Elephas maximus indicus: one gene and its partners. The protein of the gene in region 3 interacts with the protein of the main gene of each other region in a pairwise test. Links are inferred from orthologs where the notes say so. Each region holds a gene or a part of one and is shown on either strand. Other genes may lie near its edges. The genes, in order: PSMB10, myelin P2 protein, CCNDBP1 and AMPD2.

Evidence for each region.
Region 1: the proteins of CCNDBP1 (region 3) and PSMB10 interact in binary tests that used the Homo sapiens proteins (3 or more experiments, as listed by UniProt). The two-hybrid records come from large-scale screens. The link is inferred for Elephas maximus indicus from reciprocal best matches to the Homo sapiens genes CCNDBP1 and PSMB10.
Region 2: the proteins of CCNDBP1 (region 3) and myelin P2 protein interact in binary tests that used the Homo sapiens proteins (3 or more experiments, as listed by UniProt). The two-hybrid records come from large-scale screens. The link is inferred for Elephas maximus indicus from reciprocal best matches to the Homo sapiens genes CCNDBP1 and PMP2.
Region 4: the proteins of CCNDBP1 (region 3) and AMPD2 interact in binary tests that used the Homo sapiens proteins (3 or more experiments, as listed by UniProt). The two-hybrid records come from large-scale screens. The link is inferred for Elephas maximus indicus from reciprocal best matches to the Homo sapiens genes CCNDBP1 and AMPD2.

Annotation. Positions count from the first base shown.
Region 1 is NC_064839.1:34,375,217-34,382,222, forward strand, and holds PSMB10 (proteasome subunit beta type-10), read right to left. Parts: upstream 3,012-7,006; 5' UTR 2,861-3,011; coding exon 2,805-2,860; intron 2,521-2,804; coding exon 2,433-2,520; intron 2,345-2,432; coding exon 2,247-2,344; intron 2,137-2,246; coding exon 1,996-2,136; intron 1,753-1,995; coding exon 1,637-1,752; intron 1,523-1,636; coding exon 1,464-1,522; intron 773-1,463; coding exon 621-772; intron 492-620; coding exon 380-491; coding exon of another isoform or gene 375-379; 3' UTR 317-374; downstream 1-316. Other genes in the region: LCAT (phosphatidylcholine-sterol acyltransferase), read right to left, coding at 4,510-5,066, 5,947-6,171, 6,256-6,351, 6,428-6,778. UniProt on the Homo sapiens protein: The proteasome is a multicatalytic proteinase complex which is characterized by its ability to cleave peptides with Arg, Phe, Tyr, Leu, and Glu adjacent to the leaving group at neutral or slightly basic pH.
Region 2 is NC_064833.1:60,096,428-60,104,301, reverse strand, and holds the start of myelin P2 protein, read right to left. Parts: upstream 3,012-7,874; 5' UTR 2,975-3,011; coding exon 2,902-2,974; intron 785-2,901; coding exon 612-784; intron 405-611; coding exon 303-404; intron 1-302.
Region 3 is NC_064828.1:12,855,074-12,862,323, forward strand, and holds the start of CCNDBP1 (cyclin-D1-binding protein 1), read right to left. Parts: upstream 3,018-7,250; 5' UTR 2,926-3,017; coding exon 2,817-2,925; intron 2,650-2,816; coding exon 2,590-2,649; intron 2,279-2,589; coding exon 2,199-2,278; intron 1-2,198. Other genes in the region: TMEM62 (transmembrane protein 62), read right to left, coding at 3,780-4,106, 6,881-6,999. UniProt on the Homo sapiens protein: May negatively regulate cell cycle progression. May act at least in part via inhibition of the cyclin-D1/CDK4 complex, thereby preventing phosphorylation of RB1 and blocking E2F-dependent transcription.
Region 4 is NC_064821.1:171,939,229-171,946,185, forward strand, and holds the start of AMPD2 (AMP deaminase 2), read right to left. Parts: upstream 3,005-6,957; 5' UTR 2,558-3,004; coding exon of another isoform or gene 2,490-2,557; coding exon 2,399-2,489; intron 1-2,398. UniProt on the Homo sapiens protein: AMP deaminase plays a critical role in energy metabolism. Catalyzes the deamination of AMP to IMP and plays an important role in the purine nucleotide cycle.

The DNA of each region.
Region 1 (7,006 bases), on a different chromosome or scaffold from region 3:
GCCTTTTGGGTTTTACAACAGTCCCCAGTAGACTAGGGAGCAAGAGCAAGGTAGGGGAGTGGCAGAGGGGAGCCTCTGTGCTGTGGAGAGTCAAAAGCGAAGTTTTGGAGGCAACAAGATGTGAGCTTTCCACCTTCAACCTGCAGTGCTTGCCAGGGCTGGGTTCCTAGAGGGATGGGCACCTGAGGTGATAGGGAAGGGCGCTTTTAGAACAGGTGCTGGAGTTGTGGAAGGGATGGCTGCTCCAGGGACCCACTGGCCACCAGGCCCTGCTGGCTGCCTGCCCGTCTCTACCCAAGAACACCACAGCTCTCTGTTTAGGTATTTGCATTTTCTGGTTTTATTCTTCCTTGTTTCAAGCTCTGAGCCTCAGCTTACTTCACTCCACCTCCATGGCCTGAACGGTTTCCTCCAGAAGCTCCAGGGTCAGTGGCCTTACCATCTGGGTCAGGACAGGCGTGGTCCCAGGAGCAAAGTGGTACCTGCCCGGTCTGGAGACAGGGGGGCCAGCCTCTCAACATGGGCCCATAATGTGGCCCCATCCTCTCCTTGCAGGCCCCTGGCTTCCCTGCTTATCCCCACCTTAGCCTCCCCTGTATTCCCCACCTGCCTGTTCTCACCTCTTTATGGGCTCTGTGGGTGAGCTCAGTGTCCGCAGCAGCCTGGCACCAGTCCAGGTGATGACACATGCATCCACACTGCCCCCTGAGCCCAGGTCACCCAGGATCCCTGCAGTGATAGCTTCTACCAGGAGCCCCTGTGCATCCTCCAGCTGTGATGATGGATATTTGAGGCCTGATGTGCCCTTTTGGTGTCATGCTCAGGCCACAGCCTGAGGACTTTGGTAATTCCTAAACATTGACTATTTGCCATTCACTGCATCCAGTCTCTTCTCTCCCCTGACATCCCTCCTCCCTGAGTTTCAGCTTTCTTCTCTCCTAAGACCCCATGTTCCCTCTGCCCACTGTCACCTCTCTTTACAAGCTTTACAGAGCCGTCTATACTCGCTGCCCAGCTACTACCAGCCTGTCGCCACTCAACCTATTTTTAGTCCCAATGCATGAGCTCACTGCGTTTCCCTCCCTGGGCCTTAGCCACCTCTTTCAAGACATATATCATCTACTTTTTTTTTTTTTTTTCCCACCCCAAACAAAATCCACACTCCAGACTTCGTATAAGGCCCCACTGGCCGTCCCCTCCTCCCTCCGCTACAGTCAAATGAACCTCTCTTGAGCTTCGAATCCTCGGGACTGTCCAGCCTTTGGCACTGGCCGGTATTCTGTCTGGATGGCACTTACCCTTCACCCCACACTCTGCTCGTCCCTCAGTCTCCACTCAGAAGTCACCTTCTCCAAGAACCCTTCCCCAACCTCCACACCGGGCCAGCGTCCCTCTGGGCTCCCCCAACACCCGGATGCACTTCCCACCAGTGACTCCGCGGTGGGAGGACAGGGGTCGCTCACCGTCATATTCGGCTGGAACCGGTCCTCCAGCATTGCCATGGCCGCGTCCTGGCCGGAGCCTACAGGGGGAGAGGCATCTGAGATCAGCCGCGGCCGCCCAGTGGGGGAAAGGTGCAAACGAGAGGCCAGGGTCGCAGGGGCGGGGATCGTGGAGAAGGGACGCAAGCGCTCACCCAGGGCCGCGAAGGGCAGACGACTGTAGGATCCATGTGGATGCACGCTGTAAAGCTGCGGTCCTTTAACGTCTACACCCCCCACGATCAACGACGCGCCCACGTGACCGCGGTACCTGCCGACGGAGTGGGCGTCATCACCCGCAGATTTTGGAACCCAGACCCCGCCCCTCCATTCTAGTCCAGCCCCTCCCCGTGGTCCGGTGCCCCATGACTGTCATCGCTCCTTCCTGTTGACCGTCTCGTCTTAGGCCGGCCTCTTCCGGTCTCCCGACACCCCTCTCTCCTGCCCCACCTCTTAGCCCCGTCCTTCCCCTGACGGCCCGGTCCCCAGGTAGTCTTGGCCCCGCCCCCAGCACCGAAAGAGCGTCTGGCGCAGAACGCGGGTGACCGTGGCCACGCGGGGCTCGCGGCCCGTAGACAGCGCGTGTAGTTCCATGTTGGACGCCGCCATCCGCGTGGTCATCTGGGTGTCTGCGGCAACTCCAGCCCCACAGCAGCTGAGGGCGAAGGGAGGGCTGGTGTGGGTAGTGCTCTAATATGCAAGGGACGGGGCGTGGAGACGAGGGGTGGTTTTTGCGTGGGGGAACAGGGCTGGGAGGGTCCTCACTAGATTTTGGGGGCGATGAAGTGGATCTTCTCGCAGTTCTTGTCTGCCACGACCGAGTCGTTAGTGGCCCTCGTGTCCGCGCCCAGGATGACCCCGTCCTACGAGGATTGAAGGACCGCTGACTCAGTGTTCGGCCGGTCCCCCGGCCGCTGTTCCGGGTTCCCCCCAGCCTGCCCTCCCTCTCACCCGGAAAACAAGGCCCGCGATGGTAGTCCCGGTCTTGCGTGCATGAGGGGCCCGGAGCTCCGGGAGCAGGCGTTCTAAGGATGCGTTTCTGGAAAGGGAGGTGGTGGCCCGAGTTTCGGTTCTTCCAAGATTCCCCAACCCCAATTCTCCAACCCCCCAAGCCCGTCCTGGACTCCCTCTTCCTGGGGTAAGCCTGGGAACCGAGTCATGCCCATGTTTCCCCACCAGTACTACCACCAGGGGAAAAAAAACCCTGGGGCCCTACCCTCCGAAGCTCTTACGGCCGGATCGGGGCGGGGGGCGGGGGGCGCGGGACCAGCCCCTCCCATGGCGGGGATCGGCTGCGCGGGACCGGCCCCTCCCCACACACACCTCTGGCAGTTTTCGAAGGAGAAGCCCCCTCGGGGCTCCAGAGCTGGTTGCAGCATCTCCGGGCGGGCTGGGTGGTCCAGGAACTATAGGTCAATAGATCAGAGGAGTGGGGCGAGGCCGGTGGGAGTGAGACCGGCTTAGGGCTAGGGCGCAACGTCTGACGCTTCCTGCTTTCGTTTTCACCTTTCTTCAGAGGCCACTGGCCCCTTTCTGCATCGTCTTTCACTTTCACCTTCAGCCGGTTCAAGGCAGCTTGGGAATCCGGGGAAGCCCCTGCTCCCTGTGTCCTCAGAGCAGAGAGGGGTAAACCCCAGCTCCTCTGGCCATTGAACAGTTGAGCCTGTGTTGAGCTCCTCCTCCCCCTTCCAGTCTAGAGCCCAGGTGTGCCTACCCTAACCCTAACTCTAGCCTTAACTGCTAAGGCTGTCAGACCATGGACCAGATCCGTTTGGATTGTTACTGGCCTAAGGACAGCATCATACATGGCTCCATACCTTTCCGTGGTTAAAACCCTTCTACAGCTGCACTGCTATTCATAAGGTTTTCACTGGCTAATGCTTTTCAGCAGTAGACTGCCAGGTCCTTCTTCCTAGTCCGTCTTAGTCTGGAAGCTCAGCTGAAACCTGTCCTCCATGGGTAACCCTGCTGGTATCTGAATACTGGTGGCATAGCTTCCAGCATCACAGCAACATGCAAGCCCCCGCAGTACAACAAACTGACAGACAGGAAGACCAAAGAATTGACACCTTTGAATTGTGGTGTTGGCGAGGAATATTGAATATACCATGGACTGCCAAAAGAACAAATCGGTCTCAGAAGAAGTATAGCCAGAATGCTCCTTAGAAGCAAGGATGGCAAGACTGCATCTTACATACTTTGGACATGTTGTCAGGAGGGATCAGTCCCTGGAGAAGGACATCATGTTTGGCAGAGTACAGGGTCAGCAGAAAAGAGGAAGACCCTCAACGAGGTGGATTGACACAGTGGCTACAACAATGAGCTCAAGCATAACAACGATTGTAAGGATGGCTCAGGACCGGGTAGTGTTTCGTTCTCTTGTGCGTAGGGTTGCTACGTGTCAGAACTGACTCGATGGCACCTAACAACAACAGCTGCGCTCTGCTCTTAGGCTTAAGCCCAAGACTTCAGTGGCCCATGTTGACCTCATCCCTCTGACCTCAGCATTGGCACCACCTCCTCTGGGAAGCCTTCTTGACCCTCAAGGCTCAATCAGGTTCTTGTAGGTGACTCTTACTCCTCCTATACTTTTCTCTCAAAGGACTTAGCTCCATTTACAATTAACCCTTCATCAGGGAACTGATCTGATTAATGGCTGTCACCTCCCCACCAGAGTCTAAACTCTTGTGCTTCTGTCCTCCACATAGCAGGTGCTCAAAAGGCCCTGTCTAGAGGTGTCTTGCCCTTCTGGGTGCCGGCAGGGCCAGCTCTCATCTCTGTGCACCCCAGGCTCCATGTGCCCCCGTCCCATGCTGGGTGTACAGCTGGCTTCAGTCTCCATGCCCAAACAGTTCACCTGGAGAGTAGGTGCCTTGTTCAGTCCCAGTTTTATAGAGCCCAGCTTGCCCCATATTCCACAAAGCTTCTGGCCTTTGGCCGATGATGAGGGAATCCTGATGTGTGGACCCTAGTGTTTCCCCCTTAACCCACAACACACACCTTTGGGCTTAAAGCAGCAAAGGCAGGTTTATTCAGGGTGCAGGGACCTTGGGCTGGAGCCACTTCGGTAGGCGCCCTGCAGGATTGCATTGATATGCTCCAGCGTCTGGTTGCTGAAGACCATGTTTAGGTGCTGTATCCCGTGCAGGGGCAGCAGGTGCACAGGTTGCGGCTGACGACCCTTCCAGCGGCCACAGAGCTCAGTACTGCGTGTGGCTACTGTGTCATCACCATCCTCATAGAGTGCAGCCACAGGGTCCGTGTAGGGGAAGCCGTGGTCATAGATGTAGGTGTGAGGCGTGGGCAGGCCTACACCGTACAGACAGTACACTTCCACCCCAGGGGCTGGGAGCCCTGCCAGCAGGTCACGTGACTGTAGCCACATGTACCAGCCTTCCTCAAAGTGCATGTCCACAAAGAAGCGCTGGAAGTCACGGCCTGTGTAGTTGAAGCTGGGTGTGGAAATGAATATATGGTCCTCAGGCCACGCCAGGCGGGATGGAAACATCCAGGGGGAGGTGGTTGTCATTCGCTGCTCCTCTCTCAGCTTGATGCTGGACATGATTGGGATGCCCTGGTTGTCGCCTGTGGATATGGAGCAAGGTGGGCAGGAAACCAGGCTGGGCCACCCCTAACTCACATTCTGCCCCCAGCCCAGGCTCAGCTGGATCCTGAATCTTGTCACTGCCCAAAACAGACATCGGCTCCAAGCCATAGACCAGAACAGCTCTGGCATTCAGTAGGTGCTCAATGTGTGCTTATTAAACAAGAAGTCCTGATGGCACCTCTGTGTGGCCTCAAAAGGAAGGCAGGGAGGGGTGTCCTGAGGATGGGTGTGAATGATGGTGGGCTGGTAGCGCTGGTTCCTTCCCCTCAGACAAGTGTCTGTTGGACTCTGCGGCTTGTGCTACACAGGACCAGAGTTGTGCCTGGGAAGGAGGCAATGAGACCCTGTCTATTTGGCATTTATTGGTGTGATTACCTGATGCATGTCTGTTTCCCCCACCAGACTGTGAGCTTCTAGGGGAAAGGCTGAGTCTGGCTGTGCCCAACAGGTAGCAGTGATGTCAGTGCTGGGTCCCTAGTGCCATTCCTCAGGGAAGGGCAGGAGGGGCTCCTAGGGCCTGGCCCTTAGTAGGGCAGATCCCTGGGCAAAGGGGCTCTTGAGAGCAGAAGGCAGTTGAAAGCGGGGAGGGTAGGCCGTGGGGGACAGGGAACAACCTCAGGTTATGATTAAAGTTGCTGGGGGTTGCTTCCTCTGGGTTTATCTCCCCTTTGTCATCCCTGTCACTCTGGAAGGAACCATCCTCGTGGTCCAGGCCCAGCTCATTGCTCTGGGGTACCCATGCCAGGGCCCCAGGGAAAGGAGGCAATACTTCTAGAGGCCAGCCTGGGATGGCATCATGAACAGAAGCTGGAGTGGGGGCAGGCTTATGGTCAGGATGTGGGTAAACACGCCACTCACCTGAAGCCAGGACCAGCATGGGCTTGATGGAGCCACCCCAGGGGGCCCCAAGAGAGATGAAGCCATCGATGAATCGGTCCTTCCAGGACTGGGGCTGTTGCAGCAAGAAGTAGAGCAAGTGCAAGCAGCCGAGGCTGTGCCCGATGAGGAAGACGGGCTTCCCGTAGGCCGCATGCATCTCTTCCACCAGCCCAGTGAGCTTCTGGTAATACTCTCCCTGCTGACCTGCCGGTGGTAGGTGGGGTCAGGGCCTTCAGTGTCAGGGATCACTCGCCCCAGCCCAAGCCTGACACTCATAGAGACACTCACTGGGTTCCAGCCGCCAGTCATAGGGGGCAGCCCGCACTGTCTCATCCCGCACGTAGCCATTGTTGACTAGATTCTGCACCAGCGTGTGCATGTAACCTGTGGGAGCAGCAGCAGCATTGAGAGCTCTGGCTCTGGCTCCCAGAGCCCCTGCCCTTTTCCCCAATACACACACCTGCCAGCTTGTTCTTATCCAGGTACTCAACAGAGTATGTCTTGCCAAAGCCCGGGACACGGATCTGCACACCAGGGGCATTGGACACATGCCCAGAGCTTCGGTTGTAGACAACCCTGTGGGTAGCAGGACATTCAGCACGCCAATAGCCAAGGGCAGGGCATGAGGGCTGGGGTGGAGGGGATGGCATGCACCTGGTATTATCAATCCAGCAGTCCACTCCAAGGGGCAGGAACATATTGAGATCCAGCCAGATGGTGAAGAAGTCCTCTGTCTTGCGGTAGCACATCCAGTTCACCACGTCCGGTTTGTCCAGCTTGGCTTCTAGCTGATTCCCCAGGCAGCCAGGCACTGCGGGCACCGGACCCCTTGGATCCCTCATGGCCCCCACCGATTCTTAGCCCCAGATACTGCAGTCCCCAGCCCCACACCTAGGTCTCCCCTGCCCTCAACCCCCAGACACTTAGGACACTGATCTTCTTTCCAATTTCCCCTCCCCCTCCCCCCCAGTAGCCCAAAGCCTGGGCTCCCCTCAGGAGCAGAAGGCGCAGGGGCCAGGGTCATTGACCCCTGCCTCTG
Region 2 (7,874 bases), on a different chromosome or scaffold from region 3:
ACTTTCTTTTCTCTTTGTGAATCAAAATTAATGAAATTTATCCATACTTTCTTTAACTTTACTACCTGATTTAGGCCTTTATTATGTCTAATATCTTGGGCCACTACTTCAAGTACTTCAAGATGAGAGTCTTTATGGTTTAAATATCACCTAGGCATTTTTTTTTTCTTTAACTCTGACTTTATTCTTAGTTATTTTTATCCACTTGTATTCCTAAGAAAAAAGAATATTTAGAAAATAATATAACTAGTTTTCCTATGTGAATAACATTCTTCTGTATTCAGAAGTGAAAACACTCTTACCACAACCATTTTTCCGTCCACTAACTTTCTCTTTATTGTTGTCTCTTTGCCATCCCATTTCTGTACGTGATTCAGTGAGCCTCTCTCCAAGGTTACAATGCTCTGTAAAGACATGTTCACATAATTGGCCTGCGTGGTGTCTAGTTGATAAAAGAAACAAATCATTGAATATTGAATCATTTTCATAATGGAAGTCTCATGTGGCACGTTAATTCTAAAAGGGAGTCTACCTTTTGGAACACTAGAAGGAATAATACTTTCTCTCAAACAGTAGACTGAGCAAACTTTGCAAAGACCTTTAAAGCTTACCTTTGTTTTCCTATTATCAGCTGTGGTTTCTTCAAATTCCTGACCTAGCTTGAAGGAGATCTCTGTATTTTTAAAGGTACTTTCTGTTCTTATAGTTATAATGTCCCCTTTCTTGCTGATGATCACTCTGGGCTTGGCCAAATTTCCCAGTTTTCTGGTGGCTAACCCCACACCTGAAAAATCAAGATAGTGTTAGAATTGTGTTGACTGAGACAACATACCAGGAGAGATCATGCATAGCCACATTTTGTTCTCATTTGTGTCTCAGGTGTCAGATGACAGGCAATATGGCTTATTACTGAAGGTCTTCCCCATATTTCATCAGTTAATAAAAATGCATGTCCATTGTAACACTTGAAGATTTTTGAAGAGACCGTTCAGCCTAAATCGTACAAGTTGTACATTTTTTCCATATATGGCCCCACTTACCATTGAAAATCACTAACTGTAGTTTTGTGCAGATCATTTTAGTTGGGGAAAACAAATATTATAGATATATAATAGGTATATGTTGAAAAGTGAAACCATGACATATACACACACTGTTCTGTGATATTTTTTCCCCTTGTCATATATTATGGGTATAGAGAACTCTCCCATCATCCATGATAGAATCTCACTTCGTTTTTTTGTGTGTGTGTGGCTTCCTAAGTCTCTCTGGTTGGAAAAAAACTCTCCATCTAGCCTCAAGATATATACAGTTGGAAATGAACATAGATAAATCAAATTATTTTTAAAAAGCCTGCATTTGAAAAATAAAACAAAAGTAAACTTGTGTTTTCTTACTATTATTACACAAGACTACAGAAATCCATGGAAAAGGCAAAATGTCAAATGAGAAAAATACATAAAAGAAAAACTAGTTTCCCAAGCCTCCTAAGGCTCCTGTTATGGAAACCCTAGAGGTGCAGTGGTTTAGAGCTACAGCCGCTAACCAAAAAGGTTGCCAGTTCAAATTCACCAGGCCTTCCTTGGAAACCATATGGAGCAGTTCTACTCTGTCCTATAAGGTCGCTATGAGTCAGAATTGACTCAACGGCAAAGGGTTTTAAGGCTCCTGTTGGAAGTCCCAATGCTTAGATTTACTTCCCCCTATTAAAAAAATATAAAAAAAAAAATATATATATGCTAAAAAAAACTTGAAGAGTTACAGCTCATAGGAACTATGACTCAAGTGTTCTTCTAATCCTGGTTAAGCTTTTGTTATTTCATGTGATATAGGAAAGCATTTCTCCAATTAAATCAGAATCTCTGGATTAGAGCCTGAGAATCTGCATTTAACAAGTTTTCTTGTGAACTCTAAAATTTGGACACAACTGAATTAGGAAGTCTCTTACTGAGACTGTCTTATACTTTGCTTCTTCCTCAGCTGCAAAATGAAGTCCATAAATCTAATCAACCTCACAGTATGGCTCTATCCCCAAAAGCTTTCATAGCTTTCCAGGCAACAAAGACATGATTTTGCTCATTTTACCTAAAAATAGAACCTCTTGGATAAACTTTCTGAACAGGTAAGTAAAATTACAGGCACTTTGACAAGCATGGCAACCCAAGGTCATTGGCATCACTTTTACATTTATACAGCTCTGAAAATTTCCGAAGGGTCTTCACATCTGTTGTGTTCAAATATGTGGACCATTCGCTGGAAATAGTATAAAATAAAATTGATGTTAACTAGTGACTGAGTCTTCAACCGTACCAACTACTCTAACTCTCTCTCAGTAACTCCCTTAGGCTATGAACTTCCTACTTTTGGAAGCATTTTTTTCTTCTTCAAACTCTCTGTATCTATGTGAGTATGTAATAATGGACAACCTAGAAGTAGAGAGAGGAGACTAAATTTTAGTTAAGCTAAACATCAAAATTTAAAATTGGAACTTCCGAGTATCTTCAATATACTGAACTTTATGAGCACATAAGTTGCTATAAAACTAGCTATTAGAAAAACCTGGGAACGGGCTGACTAAGCTTCTAAAATTTCTGTCCTCTGGTCTGAAACCAAAGCCTGATTGATATGGAACTGCAGTTGAAATCAGTGGGGATCTCATGCACTTAAGCAGCTCTCTTAGGTTAAAACCTAGTAAAATTGCCACAAACAAAATGCAAATAAATTAGTTGAATGACCCAACAGAATGTTAACCCCTGAAGACGATGGTACTTCAGCCTATGCATACTTCCCCAGACTCCTGGAAAAGGAGTTAGAAGGAAATAATCATCCAACTTTATCCAAAAGGATCTTCTAAAAAAAAAAAAAAGATCTCAGCCAAAATTACAAAGAACAATTTCTTACCCAGAGCTTTCATGTACTCATCAAAGTTCTCACTGGAGACAAGTTTCCAGGTGCCCAGGAATTTTTTGCACATTGTGGTGGATGACTGTTCACCACAGTTCTAGCTGGGACTCGGGAGACTCAAGTGAGGTGTCCAGGCTCATTTCAAGATTCTTTTCAAAGATGCCCCAAACATGTGACTCTCACAGAGACCCAATGGGGAAAGGCAGTGTCAGGACTGGGCAATGAATGGCTCTTCAATCATCAGCTGCCCATTCATTAGGACAAAAGATAGCCCCACATAATGCCGCCTCTGTCTTTTTTATAAAAATTATAAAAATGAATGAGAGAGCTATTTGAACCTTCAAAAAACATTTGGTTGACTTTATATTTATAAGAAGTGCTTGGGTTCTTAATGCTTTGGAAAAGACTCCATGAATTAAATCCTATGCCAGGCTAAATTGTGCCAGTATCAGTGAATGTATGTATGTCTCTGTGTGCTTAGGCATCTTGGTCACTCTCAATCTTGAGTTGGCACAATTAGGAATTCTTATTAAAAGGGAAAAAAGAGGAAAAATGACCATGACTATTGTGATAAACTCCTCAAATATGGTGTGGGAGAGAAATGCAAGGGAGCAGTGTGAGGAAGTATTCATAGGTAAGGGAGGCTTGACATAGTTCACATATCCAGGCAGGCAGAGTAGGCAGACAATGAGGTCGGTCTATTGCAGTAGAAGACAGAAATTCTATTCATGTATCCGGACAAGGAGTAGCACTATGACATGCTCTTTGGCCACAGCAAAGATTTTCATCTATCAAAAAAAAAAAAAACCTTAAGTCATAACTAAGCAGCTTTTAGTTAATTTAACAATGTTGAGTTACTTAAGTCATTTTAGATAAATCTAATGTTTTACAAAGAGAAAGGATTATCAGTAATAACAATGCTAACGTATACTGAGAGCTCATTATGTGCGAGGCACTGTGCTAAGTGCTTAATACACACTATCTCATTTAATCATCACAGTTAACTCCAAGAGTTGGGTGCTATTATTGTGTCAGTTCTACCAATGAGAAAACCAGAGCCCAGCGAGTTTACATCATTTGCTCAAGATCCCAAGACCTGAATGGGAAGAAGCACAATTTGAACCTGGCTTTGTGCCCCAGAACCCAGAATCTGAACTGCTCTCTTACACTGCTCCCTGTCCACCATACATGCACAGAGGCCCCAGCCAAAGAATAGGTTACCCTGGCATCACTATGACTAGCTAGAGACACTCATTCTCTGCTCACTAATCAAGAAAGGTAAAAATCAAGAGCTGAAGCCGCCAGGCTGTTATGGTGCGCCAGAGTGCCAGGCTTGACCAGGGGGACTAGCAGGTTTTCAATGTTAGCTTTAGTCATGGCTATGAGACAACTGACATTACCAGGGTTTTACATTTATTTAATGTCATATTTTACATATTGACTTCTCTGTTTCCCTATTTTTGGTGTTTCAGCTTTAATTTATTTGTGACTTCCCTATCTTGGTTGCTATCTGGTGGTTCTGTCCTGTGTTCTAGTCTTGGGTTGTTATATGAGATTGATTTTCTAACTGGAGGACTCCTTTTAGTATTTTTTGCAATTTTGTTTTGGTTTTTGCAAATTCTCTAAACTTCTGTTTATCTGGAAATGCCCTGATTTGTCCATCATATTTGAGAGTTAGTTTTGCTGGATATATAACCCTTGGCTGGCAATTTTTTTTTTCCTTCAAAGTTTAATATATGTCAACCATTGCTTTATTGCCTGTATGGTTTCTGCTGAGTAGTCCAAGCTTAGTCTTATTGGCTCTTCTTTGTAGATGACTTTCATTTATCCCTAGCTGCTCTTAAATTCTCTATCTTCGGTTTTGGCAAATTTGATTGTAATATGTCTTGGTGACTTTCTTTTGGGATCAACCCCTTGTGTGGGGTTTGATGAGATTCTTGGATAGATATCTTCTCATCTTTCATGATATCAGGGAGATTTTCTGCCAACAAATTTTCAACAATTTTCTCTGTATTTTCTGTTATCCCCCCATTTTCTGGTACCCCAATCACTTGTAGGTTATTCCTCTTGATACAGTCCCCCATAATTCTTAGGGTTTCTTCATTTTTTCAAAATTCTTTTATCTGATTTTTCCTCAAATAAGTTGATATCAAGTGCTTTATCTTCAATCTCACTGATTCTGCCTTCCATTGCCTCATTCTGCTCCTATTACTTTCAATTGAATTGTCTAATTCTGAAATTTTACTGTTAATCTTCTGGGTTTCTGTTTGCTGTCTCTCTATGAATTCTTGCAGCCTGTTAAATTTGTCTTTATGCTCTCGTATAACCTTATTAACTTCCTTTATTGCTTTGTCTGCTTGTTCCTTGCCTTGTTCTGTGTTTTGCCTGATCTCCTTCCTGATCTCTTGAAGAGCTCTGTATATTAATCTTTTCAATTTTACCTCTGGTAATTCCAAGTTATCTTCCTCTGGAAGATTTCTTGATTCTTTGTCTTCGACACTTGCTGAAGCCATCATGGTCTGCCTCTTCATGTGATTTAATATTGACTGTTGTCTCTGAGCCATCAATAAGTTATTATATTTATTTATTTTATGTTTGCATACTGTGTCCTAGCTTCTAGTTTTGTATTGTTTTGATATGCCCAAATAGGCTGGTTGCGAGAGTTAGTTTGATTATCAAAGGTTTGAAGCTCTCACATCCTGTTGCCAGGTGGTTAGAGCTGTTAAAATGTATGTGAGCCAATGAGTCCACTTACTTTTCTTGTATGGATTCAGCTCAGGTGTCCAGGTAGTGGGTCACCAAGTGTGTGGTACAGGTTCTCACTTATATTTCTAGATGGGCAGGGGTGATTGAAGTAGGCACAGGTATCTGGCTGCAGTAGGCTTTAGTCATACACTGAGCAAGGCAGGGGGCTGACACCTCCCCTTGAGTGTCTGGGAGGAAAGCATGTCCCTGTTCCCTACAGCACATAGGTGGGTGGGTTTTGCAGCTGGATTATGGGCACCCAATGCTGTTGGCTGTAAGGACTAGGTGGAACCGCTTATTCTTGGGCCCCATCGCAGGTGGCTAGGTGGTGTGGGTGGAGTCACCAATCCCCAGGCCCCTGATGTGGGTAGGTGAAGGCCCTGCTTAATGGGTGGAGTGATGTCAAATGTCTTGAATCTGCCACTCCAGCTTATAGCTGATACGGTTGAAATTAGACTTCAGGTATATACCCTGTTGTACTGTGCTAATGAGGGCCTTCTCTGTTGAGATGGGCCCTCACAGTTCTATGCAGAGGTGAAAGGCATTCAAAGTCTATGGACCCCTTATGCCTGTGGCTAGGCAAAGGGGCTGTGTCTGCCCTGAGTTCCTGGCTTAGGGAAGCTGAAAGATTATTCTTTCTTGTTTGCTAATTTGTTCCCTCTCCAAAGCCAGGAAAATGGCTCAGCGCACGCGATGGGTCCTACTTCTGGCCCAGGGGCACAACAATCATTGAACCCAGTCCAGGACCCAGTGCAGAGTCGGCAGGTAAATGGGAGAGAGGTTCTTCCCAAAAGGGGTGTTTTCTGATCCACTTGGTAGGTTAGACACATGTACTTATCTTTTGCTTATTGAGTGCTGCTTTTCACTGGTTCTGGAGGCTCGAGTGGACTCTTCACCATTCAGCCTCTCCTGATGTGGAAAATGCGTCCTGTGTGTCACTGCTTGCCTTCCCTCGCATGCCAGGTGATCCAGCCTGCAGGGTGCCAGTTCCCGCTGGGTCAGGTCTGGCAGCTCCTTGCTGCTTCTGAACTTTCTCTCCCTCCCTCTGCCTCTAAGTCTGATTCCTCAACTTTGCCTTTGATGTTCAGGGCTCCTAGATTGTCATATATAATCGATTCACTTGTTTTTTGAGGTCTTTTTTGTAAGAGGGACCACAGGAAGCGTCTGAGTACTCTGCCGTCTTGGCCCCACCTCCCAGGTTTTTATATTTAGTACACAGGTTGGCACTTTTCACAGCAATGAAAATATCTCCTGGTCAATTTGCTCATAACAAATAGAATCATTGGCTTCAAGGTCTCAGCTTGCCAGTGTCATGCTGTGTCATAGCTATTGTAATTATGTGGTTAGGATACAAGCCAGGTCAAAATGCAACATTATATACTGTGGGCCCAAATCTCATCTTACATTACTAGTGCATGAATAACTTAAAGTGAGCATGAAACAATAAATAGAAAAATTCCTGAGCTAACCAGCTAACCCACTCCCAGCCCCAAGAGAATGTAACTGGAGGGGCATATTGAACTTGGACAGAGAAAACAGTTATTTTTTAAAAAGGGTTTTGATTAGTGAATGTGTGTTTCTTCTCCAAAACACTTTATAAAAATGAATGATGACTTCTGTGAAGGGTAAGAGAATTCACAATACTGGGGAAGCCAGCACAACTTTCCAAGGGAAGGTCATGGAAGCTCCATAGACACATACAAACTCCCTGAAAGACTGAATAATTGGGCTGAGGGCTATGAGGACCATGATCTCAGGAAACTTCTAGCTCAACTGGCATAACATAGTTGACGAAGAAAATGTTCTACATTCTACCTTGGCAAGTGGCGTCTGAGGCCTTAAAAGCTTGTAAGCAGCCATCAAAGACACTCTACTGGTCTCACCCCATCTGGAGCAAGGGAGAATGACCAAAAAAACCAAACCAAACCCACTGTCGTCAAGTCGATTCTGACTCATAGCAACCCTATAAGACAGGGTAGAACAGCCCCATACAGAGAATGAAGAAAACCAAAAACACAAGAGAAAGATTAGTCCAAATGACTGATGGACCGCAATTTCAATAGCCTCTATTAGACTAAGTCAAGCACAACTAGATGGTGCCTGGCTACCAGCAGTGACTTCTCTGACAGGGATCACAATAGAGGGTCCTGGACAGAGCTAGAGAAAAACCAAAATTAGACCAAAATTCTAACTCACACAAATGCATGGGTGCATACAAACACACA
Region 3 (7,250 bases):
ATCTGCTGTGAAGTACTCACCATATCTTAGACCAAGATCTGGCAAACTATAGCCCACAGGCCAAATCAAGCCTACTGCCAAGTTTTGTAAGTAAAGTACAGTAAAACCTGCAAAAGCTGGAACCTGTGTAAGGTGGAAACCTGTCAGAGAGGAAAACTCAATTTTTTTCCAATAAACCAAGCGAGAGAAAAGTGGTAAGGCTGCACCCTGTGAAAGGCAGAAAACTTGCAAGGCCTAGAAAAACAAGGCAGTCCTGTTGAGTTCTGGCTCTGACAGGTTTCACTGTATTACTGGAACACAATTATCTACTATTTGCCAACTCCTGTCTTAGACCATTATATCTCCCCACCCTCATTCTCTCCTTTGTTTTAATAGAATCACATGGACTCAGCAATGTTCAATGTTGACTCTCTTCCTCTAAAGCAGTCACTGGCTTTCTCCTACCTTCCTTGTCTTCACTTAATCTGCTAAGTTCTAAGCCCGTGCTATGCCAGGTGTGGCCCACAGGTTGGTGCCAATCCACAAACTGTTTATTACCAGTCCAGGATGATATAAATACAGTGATTGAGAATAAGTATTTAGGCACTTTCATGGCAATTTGACATTGTGTAACATCCAAGCACACAGTTTTCTAAAAATATCTATCAGTCCATAATGGGTGATATTCCTCATCTGAATGATCGCTGCTCAAAACCACGAGAGCTCATTCAACTCCGTAGTTTTCAGTGTATCAGTATTCAGTGTATTTTAAACTACAGGACTAAGATGCTGAGATTCCTTATATATGTCGTTCAAATAAAACCAAATTCTAAATTTAAATTTTCACCCATGAGTAAAATCACTGTACTGAGCATGTACAGAAAAATAGTTCTATGTTGCCTCCTCATGGGATCTTACTAGCTATGAATTTTGGCAAGTCCTAAGTGTATATGAAAGAAAGGAATCTGCATATAAGAGGAAAAAAGGTAATACTGCTAGTTCCTTTGATAGAAATATTGACTTTCTTCCACGAAGCTTTTAAAGTGCTGTACTCCGAGTCATCCCGTTTCCTCAACACAGATCTCTGAGGTATGAGGAGGGGGTTTATCATTGTGGGTTCAGTGAAAGAATGTATCATTTCAAAGCATCGGAGACTGAAACTACTGACCATGAGAATGAAGTAAGTCAATGAGTATGCCACTTTTAAATAATCTTACCCCCCAAATAGGCATACTTAGCTCTAGAAAAACTGGGCATACCTGGTCCCAGCCTACATGTTTATTTTCATTAGTTTTATAATATAATAAAGTGTTAAAGTGTATAATTCTTTGTTCTAGTAATGCCACTTCTGGGAATTTTTTTTCTACCAATATGCATACGCACACACAGATTGTACCAGGTAATTCACCACAGCACTCGTTATAGTTACAAGTTACATTTGTGTAAAAAGCATGTGTACATGAATGTGTATATGCACAGAATAAATATGGAAAAATACAAAAAGAACTGGGGGGGAGGCAAAAACGAGAAACTGGAGTTGTGAGATATAAACATTTTAGCATACTTTGATATCTTTTTAATTTCATACCATATACATGTTACTAATTCAGTATAAAAAATTAAAATAGTTCAGGAAAACTGGATGAATGGAAACAGGGAACCTGGGGTGGAGAAGGGGAGAGTGTTGACACATTGTGGGGTTGGCAACCAACGTCACAAAACAATATGCGTATTATTTAATGAAAAACTCTTTGCTATGTAAACTTTCACCTAAATCACAATAAAATAAAAATTCAAAAAGGGTTTTATGTAGTACAGCAGAAAAGATGTAGCTTTGACAACAGACAGACCCCAACTTAATCCCGGCCTCACTGCTTATTTACCCTAACATGAGCGTCTGAGCCTGCTTGTTCATCTGTCGGAGGAGGGCTATGTATGTGAAAACACCCAGCAAGCTGTAAGTGCTTTTTTAAAAAAGTTATCAGAAATGAACGAACCAGGCTGGACTTTAAATTGAACCAATATTTAGAAGACCTGTCTACTCCCCACCATGTAGCGCACCTGGCAATTTTACGCGCATTGCCGTATTTGGTCTTCACAACAATCCTTTAAGGTAAGAACTGTAATCCCATTTGGCAGATGAGGGAATTAAGTCCCCTGGCTTGAGTGTAAAAGGTGGGAAGGAGGCAGCACAAGGAAACTGGGGAAGTGAAGCCCACCTGTGGAGACGGCAGCGGAAGTCTGGAGAAGGCTGTGGTCAGAGTCGTGGCTTCGCTGGCCACTTTCACAGCCGCCTCGTCTGCAGGGTGGAAGAGGAGGCAGGTGCCAATGTGTTAGTGCCAAAACAAGGCTGCAGCTGCTCGCAGACGTCAAAGACAATGCGTTCCCTCTTCACCCTTGCCGGCTGAGGCGTCTCAAAAACACCTCCAAAAATCACTGCCGAGGAAGGGTAAGGAGAGGTACCCCCACGCTGAGGATACGGCGGGGGAGCGTGGTCACCTCCCTGAGGGAGAGTGGGAGGGAAAGGGGTTGGGACGCAGCTCAGGGTGCAGAAGGGCCCAAGGATAAACGGAAGAGGTAAGGGATGGGGACGCCAAGACTAGCACTCACTGAGTCTCCTCCAAAACTTCTCCCGATTGAACTCCTCGGTGGTCTCCTGCGCTTCGCCGACTTGTGGGTGTGGCGCGTGGGGGCCGGGCGGGGGCAAAAGAAAAGCTGGAGTAAGCGGAGCCAGCTCTGCCCCCCACCTCCTCCGCCCCGACCGCCGCCACCGCCCCAGCCTGCTCTCTCCCCAGTCCCAACCCGCCTGTCATCGCCCCGCAACGGCGTCAGCTCACCCCGCACTCCAGGCATGAGCGACCGCAGCTCCACTGCCAAGTGCCGGAGCTGCTCCAAAGGCGGAGCCAGGGTGGGGAAGGCGGCTGCAGGGGCAGCTGTGCTTGCCATCTCAGTCGCTTGCCTGGTGACTACAAACGTCGCCACCGCCGGTACCAGAGACGCACTGCGGAAGCCACCCCACTTCCGGGAGCCACAAACTGAGGTCCGCTTCCGGCAACAACCCTTCACGCCCCGCCCCGGGAGCGCTGCCTCGCCCCTATCACTTCAGAGGCCGAGCCACGTGTCCACGTCAGCAGTCACTCTCCGAAGACAGGCCCCGCCTTCCTCCCGCCCCCAGGCGCCAGGCCACGCCTCCTCCCGCTGCCTGATGCTAAACCGCGCCCGCCCCTCCCCGCCTAAGGCCAGGCCACAACACGCAAGAGCCATATTGATTCCTCATTGATTCATTCATTTATTTGATTAACTGAAAACACCCCCGACTAAGGAAGCTGAGAACCATAACCCTGCAGGAAAACAGGGCTAGGAGCTAACATCTGAAGGGCAGTTAGGGTCAGGTCCAAGTTCCAAGTTCCCTGCCCCTGAAGTGGCACCTCTGGCAACTGCTGAGTGCCAAGCACTGTACTAGGTGCTTTATGTGGGGTAACGTAAACACCCTGGGCCTCAGATGCTCCCATACATACACCCAGCCTGTGGATCCACCCTGAGGATCTCCTAGATTAGGGCTTTCTCTTCACAAAGGTCAATCAACCTTTTGCATTCTTGAGGAAGAAAGAAATCACAGCATTAATTAGAGATTTTCCTCCAGTCCATTCTGCAGCAATCAGTAGTGGGTAGTCCCTTTAACTCCCAGGTGTCCAAAAAGCTGCAGCTCCACGAAGCTCTGCCACCAGCACTGGCTCTCCACCTGCTTCACTAGAGGTGGAGCTGAGCTGGGCCCAGCTGCTCATGGGGAGGCATGGCCTTCAGGAGCTCAGGTGGCTTTTTAACTGCACAATGAAGGTTCCAAGCTCAGTGGGGTTCAGTGTCCACACACAACGAATGAGAATGGGTGTCAGCAGTGTCAACCAGGTCCGCAAAGGGGAGAAGAAAAAAGCTAGGGTGCCATACGTCACGTGAAGGAAGTAGCAGGAGTAGACCTGCCAAACGTACAGTAGTAGCATAAGTAGGTGAACAGGTACAATTTTCAAGTATTTTCCTTGGTGGAGATGAGATCTGAAGTTGTGACCAAAGCACCGCTGCAACAAGCTCCAGGACAGGTAAGTCATCAAGGGGATGTTAAAAAACACCAGCTGCAAAGAGGAGCAGAGGAGAACCATTAGCTTTCTACCACGCCTTGGAGGGGTAGGTATCCTTAATACATTATTGGTAGCTCCCAAGAATGTTGCCTTTTCTCTTGGGGTTAGTTAGTTCTCTGATTCTCTCCTTTGATCACTTGCATATTATACAACAGTTCACTTATACTATAGTTAGTTTTGTATTTGCCTGTGTCCTTTTGTTCATCTTAAAGGCAGGTGTCATTTATGTTGAAATCTCCACTACCACATAACAGCAGATACTCAATAGAGTTTAAGTTGAATTGAGTATGTGTATGTGTGTGTTTATACTCATGTGTACACACACACACATATATATATATATATATAGGCTCTAACTTTTTTTTTTTTTTGGTTGATGGGAACTTGGGTATCAGTATTTTTTTTCCTTATCTCTATTTGAGGCGGCATGAGTGCTGGAATACAAATTAGAAGCTTTAATACAAGCTTAGGTGCTGTTACGATTCATTCATTTATTCAAAAAGTAATTACTGGGCACTCATTATGTGGAAGGCACTGTACTACGCTCTCAGTTTTGGACACATGAGTGAGCAAGTCTGAAAAGATCCACTATGGAGCTTACATTCTAACAGGGAGAAGAGAGACTGAAAAAAAAAAAAGATAACTGGTTGTGGTAAGTTCAATGAAAGAAAGAACTGGTCATGAAAGTAACTGGGAGATGACCTCTCTGAGGCCTGAGGACAGGAATGAATCAGTGGAGGGACATGCATTCCAGGCAGAAGGAACAAATAAAAAGCCCAAAGGTGGGGGAGGCCTTTAAGGCCAATGTGTCTGGAGAATGACCAACCAGGTGTAGATTGGAGCAGACAGTAGGGCCCAGATAATGTCACTGCTCTGCTTAAAGGGTTATACTCTGAGAAGTGAGTGAGCTGATTCAGGTCTTAAAAAGATCACATTGGATGCTTTGTGGTGAACTGACAGTAGGGGAGCAAGAGCAGGAGTAAGAAGAGCAGTGAGGGGTCAGTATAGTAGCCCAGGGAAGCCATAATTATGACTAGGTTGGTGGCAGCAGAGATGGTGAGAAGTGTATAGACTCACGGTGTATATTGGAGGTAGACCAAACAAGGTACAACTTGCTGATGGACTAGATATAGCACATGAGGGAAGGGGAAGAACTGAGGATACACCCTGGAGAAACTGGATGAATGGTGGCGCCATTTATTGAAATTGGAAAGAACCAAGAGAGGAACAGGTTTGGGGATGAAAATTAAAGGTTCTATTAGAGACATAATATTGAGATGTCTGTTAGACATCTAAGGGAAGATCTGAAATGACAGTCGAATATACAGGCACTTGAACTGCAGAGAAGAGGTCTAAGCCAGAGATACAGATTTGGGAGTCATGAACCTGTATGATGCATAAAATCCATTTATTAGTGTACTATTTATTAAACTATGAATGTAAACATTTACAAAGAGAAAGAAGTCTTTTGGCAAAGTTCTGGTTTTACTTGGTAAAAGAGTGCTCCCGAGATCCAGCCTCCATCTACATAATGGAAACTAAACTGGACCTAGGACCTTCTCACATATACAATGCTGCCATGCAGGGAATGTTCTAGCCTAGGCTCAGTGTTTGCTAGGCCAAGGTCTTGCCTATTTGACTGTCTCCAATCCTGCTCATCTTGTTTTACTGCCCTGGTATGAGGCTTTGAACTCATTGTGAACCATGTTTTTTGATCTCTTCCAAAACTTCAGATTACCACCTCAGATTCTGGTCCAGGTACAGTGGTTAAGAGCTCGGATGCGAACCAAAAGGTCGGCAGTTTGAATCCACCTGCCACTCCTTGGAAACCCTGTGGGGCGGTTCCACTCTGTCCTATAGGGTTGCTGTGACTTGGAACTGACTCAGTGGCAACGAGTTTGGTTTTACCTCATTAAACAAAAAACCAAACCCACTGCTGTTGAGTTGATTCCGACTCCTAGTGACCCAGTAGGACAGAGCAGAATTGCCCTATAGAGTTTCCAAGGCTGTAAATTGTTACAGAAGCAGACCGCTAGGTAGAACGGCTGGTAGGTTCAAACTGCCACCTTTTGGTTAGCAGTCAAGCATTTTAACCACTGAGCCACCAGGTCTGGCTTGTTGGTCTAGCGCCATCAGATGAGTAAAATAAAGAACTAGGTAAATACTTTTGAAATCTGTTTATGGAGATTTGCTATGGGTCAGGGCTCTTTGTGTGTTTTAAAGGACTCTTAATCCAAATGTATACCTAATCTATCAGCATTTCCCATGCAGGTACCCTGCTAAGACACCATGGGAAAGCCCAGGTCTCGTTTTTGCCCAGTGCCATTTCCATTGGATAAATAAGCCACTTTTCTTGTGTGTCTATTTTTACTTTCTTCTTCCTGAAACATTTTCGTTCTTTATTAATCATAATCAATTTTGATTTAGTGTGAACTCTATCATTTATTCTACTATTAGACCCTTATTTCATCTTCTGTCAATGAAAAAGCAAAATGAAACAAGTAACAGCAACAAAAATCTCTTTCACCTCTTACAAATCCTGCCTTCCAAAAATCTATTTTAGATGTTTACAAGAGAGTGGTGGAAGAAAGCACTTAGGAAGCACTCTAAATACAAACAGAACACCAGTTATTAAAGACTGCCCTGACTGCAAAGTCGGAAAGATGATCCACAGCATTTCATTTCAGATTTGGGGGGTAATTCATAACTGTAATGCAATTAGTCCAACAAGGCCAAGATGTTCTTAAATTGCATTTCCAACTTCTTACCTGGAGAATTCCAACTACAAATGTTAAGCTGCCTTGTAGGAAATGTCCATCAACAAAGATCCCAAAAGAAAAGCAGCAACCCAATTTGCCTGTAATGATTTCACCAACAAACCATGGTCCTAAAAGAGGCAATGGATAGGAAAGGAGATTATATAATTATGACTCTGATTACATACATCTATGAGATGCATTACAGGAATAATGAAAAGATATGAGACTACTTAAATCTATAAGCATTTTATTTGCCAGGCTTTTCTTCTTTGCTAATCTCTGTGTTGCATCTGATGTCCTAACTATCCATCTAAGTATCTGCTCCCTTCCTCCATATTTCTCTGGGTTGTAAAAGCTACACCGGGAATAGACATGTAAA
Region 4 (6,957 bases), on a different chromosome or scaffold from region 3:
AACTGGACTATGTGAAGAAGAACATGGCATCAAGAATAAAGAAAAACTCAACAACCTGCAATATGCAGATGACACAACCTTGCTTGCTGAAAGCAAAGAGGACTCAGAGCACTTTTTGATGAAGATCAAAGACTACAGCCTTCACTATGGATTACATCTCAACGTAAAGAAAATAAAAATCCTCATAACTAGACCAGTAAGTAACACTACAACAAACGGAGAAAAGACTGCAGTTGTCAAGGATTTCATTTTACTTGGATCCATAATCAACGGCCATGGAAGCAGCAATCGAGAAATCAAACAACACATTGCATTGGGCAAATCTGCTGCAAAAGACCTCTTTAAAATGTTAAAAAGCAAAGATGCCACCCTGAAGACTAAGGTGCACCTGACTCAAGCCATGGTATTTTCAACTGCCTCATATGCACGAGAAAGCTGGACTATGAATAAGGAAGACCGAAGAAGAATCGATGCCTTGGAATTATGTATTGACAAAGAATACTGAATATGCCATGGACTGCCAGAAGTACAAACAAATCTGACTTGGAAGTGGTACAGCCAAAATGCTCCTTAAAAGTGAGGATGGTGAGACTCATTTCACGTTCTTTGGACATGTTATCAGGAGGACCAGTCCCTGGAGAAGGACATCATGCTTGGTAAAGTAGAGGGTATGCAAAAGAAAAAAAGACCCTCAATGAGATGGATTGACAGTGGCTGCAACAATGGGCTCAAACATAACAATGATTGTGAGGATGGCACAGGATCGGGCAGTGTTTCGTTCTGTTGTACATAGGGTCACTGTGAGTTGGAACCAACTCCACCATACCTAACAACAGCCCTGCCCCCAGGGTGTCGGGCAGAGCCAAAGGTCCTTGCTTGCCTAAGAACCCTGATCCTACATACCTGCTCCCCAAATACAGCCCCAGGCCACTTCCAACCCGCTCAAGGGGAGGCAGACCATAAACCTCATGGCTGTTCTGTTTTGGGTCAGCAATATGGGAGCTGAAGGCCCAATTCTCAGCCCCCTCTCCAAATGGGATAGCCTGGGGCCCCACAACTATCATGGGGGTGACAAGGACAGCCAGAGCCTTCCACAAACCTGCCATGGCACCGGGTGGGTAATCTCCAAACTCTGTGGGGCCAGGGCATAGAAGACTCAACTGCCAGCTGGGTCCCTTTTCCCAGTTCCTCTGCTGGAGGTTGCCGGTTACAGCACCACACACACATATACTCCCATACTCACAGTCACACAGGGGGAGGGTCAACCAAAGGCCAGAGGGGCCCAACCCCACCAGTCCATGCACAGCTACTCCCCAGCCACTCCCACTAACTCCAAGATCCTGGCCACCCATCTCCTCTCTTCACCAGGAGCCCCTCTCTCACTGCCAAGCGTGCTGAAGAGTACCAGATGCTCTCACCCAAGGTCTCTGGTTCAGCAACTGGTATAGATCTAGCCCCAGCGGACATACCTTTTGGATGGCAAAGAACTGGGCACAGATAAACATGACCCTCAACACAGTACAGGCCTCAGGCCAGGCATCTTCAGTGGCATACAAAATACAGATGGGAGATGTTCAAGCTATAGGTACAGGCACCTGCTGAGGGAGTTGGCTTGACCTTGTTGCCAAAATGGGGGTGGGTCCTTCCTCAACCACAAGGGCCTGGGGGCACCAGGCAGCAGGCAGACTCTATCCCTCAGCAGGCACAGGCCCAGGCAACTGAGCCTTCAGGGAGATCACTGCCGCACCGCACTGCCTGCTCCAAATGGTGCAGAGATGCTCCCAGAGTGGAAGCCGAACCAAAGGGTGCAGGAGCACACGCAGCACAGCTGCAGCCCCCGCTTGAACCCCCACACATGCCTGACTCATGGAACCCTATCCCCATGAGGAGGCTCATACACAGACCAGGAACGAGCAAACCATACAGCCACAAAGCTGAGCTTCCCAGCTCCAAGATGCCTGCCAGCGATGGTCTGCCCTAACGTCAGACCCCCAGCCAGTAGGTTCTGGGTCTGGGGTCCTAGAAAGCGGAGCTAGCTGCAGGAGGAAGCCTGAGCCTACCTGGGAAGGCACAGCCACCAGTCGGTGTGGCCAGTCGGAACACCACACACCCCCAATCCATTCACACACTCCACACACTGACACGTGTGCATACATACTTCTTGCTGCACCCACACCAACTCCTTGTTAACAGAGGACAGCATCCCCGACACAGAAACCTCAGTCACCCCCCACCCCACCATCCTATACACACGACCTTCCAAGCCAGCTGTTCCTGGGATCGAGGGGCAAGTCTGCAGAGTGGGTACCGGAGAAGGGGAATCCCTCTCTGAGGGGCCAGTGGTCTGGGCTAGAGGTGGTAGGGAAAGAGGTGCCTCCTGGCCGGGAAGCAGACTCACCTGGTACTGCGGCTGAGGCCTGCAGGCTGGCCCGCTTCTTAAAGGGATACTTGGCCTTGGGCTTGCTGGGGCCAGATGGATAGGATGCCATGGCTGGGGCCGCGGCGACAATGCGCGGGGAGCCTGAATGGCTCCGGCTGGGGCCTCGCTTTGCCACATCCAACCCTTTCCTACGCTCCGCCCCCAGCGGGAGTGACTGATGCAGGAAGCAGCGGCCCGGCGGGCGGAAGAGGCCCTGGCCATGATTTCTGGTGTTGTCTAGGCAACCTCGGGGAGTGGGGTCTCCATCCCGCCCCTTATCCCTCCGCTCCCTCCCCTCCTCAATTCCTGGAGTGATGTGACTGATGGTGGCCCGACTCGGGGGGTTGGGGGAAAAAGCCAGTCCCCAGCTCTCAACCCACCCCTCAGGAACCCTCACCCCTTGCCAGGACTCCAGGGCAAAGGAGCCAAAGTCCAGGTTGGCTGGTCCAGCCAGTCCCGGAGAAAAAAAAAAAACACGATCCAGTCCCCGCCTCCAAGCTGAGAACACGTTCCTCCCAAGGCAGGCGTACTGGGGCACTTCTCTTTGAAAACCTAGCCCCTCTGGGACAGAGCCCCCTTTTTTTCTCTATCTGATCCCCAGCTCCAGTGGTAGCCCAGGTCGGGAGGAGGGTGTGGGTAGAACGGAGAATCTCAGCCCGGTAAGGAGGGGCCGGTCTTGGGAAAATTCCACTGTCGGGCAGAAGCTACCCTCTAGGAAGACAGGAGGAGGGGGCTTGTCTGGGGGTCTGGGAAAGAGACCCCAGCTGCTTCTGACTTTTCCCTCTGTCTTTCCACACTCACGCGCTCCTTCCCTAAACCCCTCCCCCCCGCAGGGGGAGCTGATGGCTTCCCTAGGTTCTGCAGGCTGTGCTGAGACCCCCAACCGCCTGTCACCCTTGCCATCCCCAGGACCCTCCTCCCAACACACGCACACACACTCACCTGAGGCCATGCTGCCCAAGCCCCAAGGGGCACGGGGGAGGCTCCCCGCGAGGGTCTGCGGAGCCGGGAAGCCTGGGTTAGGAGGGAGGAGGGGAGGCTGGGGCCGAGACCCTCGTCAAGACGCTCCAAGGGCTCCTGCTCTGGCACTGAGGTGGAAGAAGTAAGGTAGCCTTTCAAAACTGCCAGCTAGCAGGAGGCAGATCCCGGCCGATCTCGGCGGCTGGAATGGCCTCGGGGGACCCCGGAGTCCAGGCCCCCAGCCCAGCGACAGAGGCGGGCAAGCCACGTGCTGCCCAGGGAGCGGGGCCTGGAACTCGTCCAGGCTCCTGAACACTCTCTGGGTACCAGGGTCGGGGCCGGCAGATGGACTGTGAGGGAATCACGCAACAGGTGCGACCCCGCCAAAAACCCGCCCACGCCTAGCCGGTCTTTGCGGCCCCAGGCCCCGCCCCCGCTCGGTCCGCCGCCGCCGGGCCAGCCCCAGCCCCACCCGCGCCATTTTTTCTCTTGCCGGCGCCACGTGGGCAGCGACCGCAGGGCTTGGCGACTTGGTTCCCGGGTCTTGGGCAAGTCCCTGAACTTTCCATGGGTCAGCTTCCTCATCAGTAAGATGGTAATAATAATCAGTAAGATGGTAATGGATGATAATAGTACGTCACTCAAAGGGGTATTGTGAAGATTAAAGATAAAGCCCATATTTGCACAGGGCCTAGCACAAAGCGCCCAATAAAAGGTAGCTGTTATCCCAGGATTTACTTTAAGCAGAAGTGGTAGCCCAGCATTCCCACTCTAGGTCATCAGCTTTTTTCTGACAGGCGTAGGTAGGGAGGGTGTGCCCTGCAATTCTGGCTCCCCTTTCCACATTTATTTCTGTATTTGGTGGTGACGAGCATAGGCTCTGTGGCCAAATTGCCTGGGTTCAAATCCAGGCTTCTCCACCCACTGCCTGACTGACGTTGGCCAAGTTACTTCTCTGTACTTCCATTTTCCTTGTAACATGAGTGTACAAGTATCTGAAGATTATTAGGATAAATGACGTAATACATGTAAAGTGCTCAGAACGGTGCCTGGCCTGTAGTTATCACTGTCATGTCTTTTACCTTGGTTCCCCTTCCACCCTCTGACACACTGATTCACCTTACCGCCTGTAAAGAAGTGAAGTTGGACGATTTGGGGAGCTGCAGGTACTCCATCCAACCAGCACCCCCACCCCCAAGTGGCAGACAAGGCTACCTAAAGGAAACTCGCGTGAGGAGGGATTAAATTCATATGACCTTGCTGAATATAATTGTGTTATCAGCAGTTACAACAGTTTCTTCTAAGAGAGGACAGGACAAGTTCCCGCTTGTGAGAGTCCTTTGCCCCCTACACCTACTTGTACTAATGCTGTCTATCCAGCTCCTCCCAGTTCTCACTACCACCACAGCCAAAGTCCTTTTTCCCAAACTCCCTCCCCCACCTGGCTGCATTCTGGACCCTGAACCCTGTTCTCTACCTGCATCTAGCACCGCCTCCATTGATCCCCTGCCTACTACTCCTCACGTCAGATAAACAAAACTCCATGGCCTCCATAACACAGAAAATATATGTTCACCTCACAAGGAATCAATGAAACAAAGAAATACTACCAAATTAGCAAGCATTAAGAAAAAGATAATCCAAATGCTGGCAAGGGTGTAGTTAGTGATTGATTTAGGAGATAATATTGGAGTCGTTTATTCCCTGTCCTAAAATGTGACCCAGCTGGAGCTAGACTCACAAGGACACATCAAACTGGGCCCTGAGGTATAAAGACAATAGCTAGGACAGTCTTAGAAAACATCTTTCAGGGAAACTTTCATATAAACCAATCATAAACAGAACACAAAAGTTCTGTTTCCACTAATCTTTTTCTGTTAGCATTTAGTGAATAGTAAGATTTGTCAGACCAATAAAACCTCCAGACTTTCCTCATTACTGAAACCTGTACTAAAGATTGTTAAGAAAGACAATTGGAAATGTAGAATTACTTAACAGTGTTTAGTCAGTCTGTGAAAAGGTGGAGCTTTGAAAGATTTTGCCTATTTTGTAAGGTCAATATATACTGATGATTCTGTTCCTTGGACTTGGGCAGACATGGCTCTGGCAGCGTGGTTGTGTTTTCCCATTCTTGCCTGTTACTCAGCAGATGTGGCTCTAGCAGCGTGCTTGTCCATTTCCCACTTTTGCATCTTGGAATGTATGCCAAATAAAGCTTTCTTTTTGCTTTACTAACATTGTGATGTTTTTACCCTACAACATGATTTAGGAGATAATATTGGAGCCATTATTCCCAGTCTTAGAATGTGACCCAGCTGGAGCTGGACTCACAAGGACCCACAAGGACACATCAACTGGGCCCTGAGGTATAAATACAATAGCTAGAACAATCTTGGAAAACATCTTTTAAGGAAACTTTCACATAAACAAATCATAAAACACAGCACAAAAGACCCATATACTTTCCACTCTTCTTCTATTAGCATTTAGTGAATAGTAAGATTTGTTGGACCAATGAAGACTCCCCTGTTGCTGAAACCTGTACCAATGATTGTTGATGAAGACAATTCAAAACGTAGGATTTCGGAGATTCAGCAGTTTCTAGCCGATCTTTGAAAAGGTGAAGCTTTCAATGGTTTTTGCCCGTTTGTAATGTTAATATATATTGATGATTCCATAACTTGGACTCAGACAGACATGGCTCTAGCAGCATTCTTGTGCATTTTCCCACTTTTGCTTATTCTGTAATATTTCCTCAGACTTGGGCAGACATGCCTCTAGCAGCATGCTTATCCATTTCCTACTTTTGTCTCTTGGACTATATGCCAAGTAAAACTTTTCTTTTTGCTTTACTGAACTTTGTGATGATTTTACTCTAGAATATTAGTGAGATGGGGCACACACATACACTACTGGCAGGTCTAAACATTGATATAATATCCCTGAAAGCCATTTAGCAATATGTAATCAAGAGTCTTAAAAAGGTTCATATTATTTGACCTTGAAAAATTGCTCTTAATAAAAAAAAAAAGGGGGGGGCCACATAAACCAGAGACTCCATCAGCTTGAGACCAGAAGAACTAGATGGTGCCTGGCTACCACCAATGACTGCCCTGACGGAACACAACAGAGAGTCCCTGATGGAGCAGTAGAAAAGTGGGGTGCAGAACTCAAATTCTAGTAAAAAGACCAGACTTAATGGTCTGACTGAGACTGGAGGGACACGAGAAGACATGGCCCCCCGACTCTCTGCCAGCCCAAAACTAAAACCATTCCCAAACCCAACTCTTCAGACAATGATTAGACTGGACTATAAGACATAAAATGATACTGGTGAGGAATGTGCTTCTTAGCTCAAGTAGACACATGAGACTATGTGGGTAGCTCCTGTCCAGATGCCAGATGAGAAGGCAGAGGGGGACAGGAGCTGGCTGAATGGACACGGGAAATACACGTAGAGAGGAGGAGTGTGCTGTCACATTACAGGGAGAGCAACTAGGATCACATAACAATGTGTGTATAAATTTTTGAATGAGAAACTGACTTGAATTGTAAACTTTTACTTAAAGCACAATTTG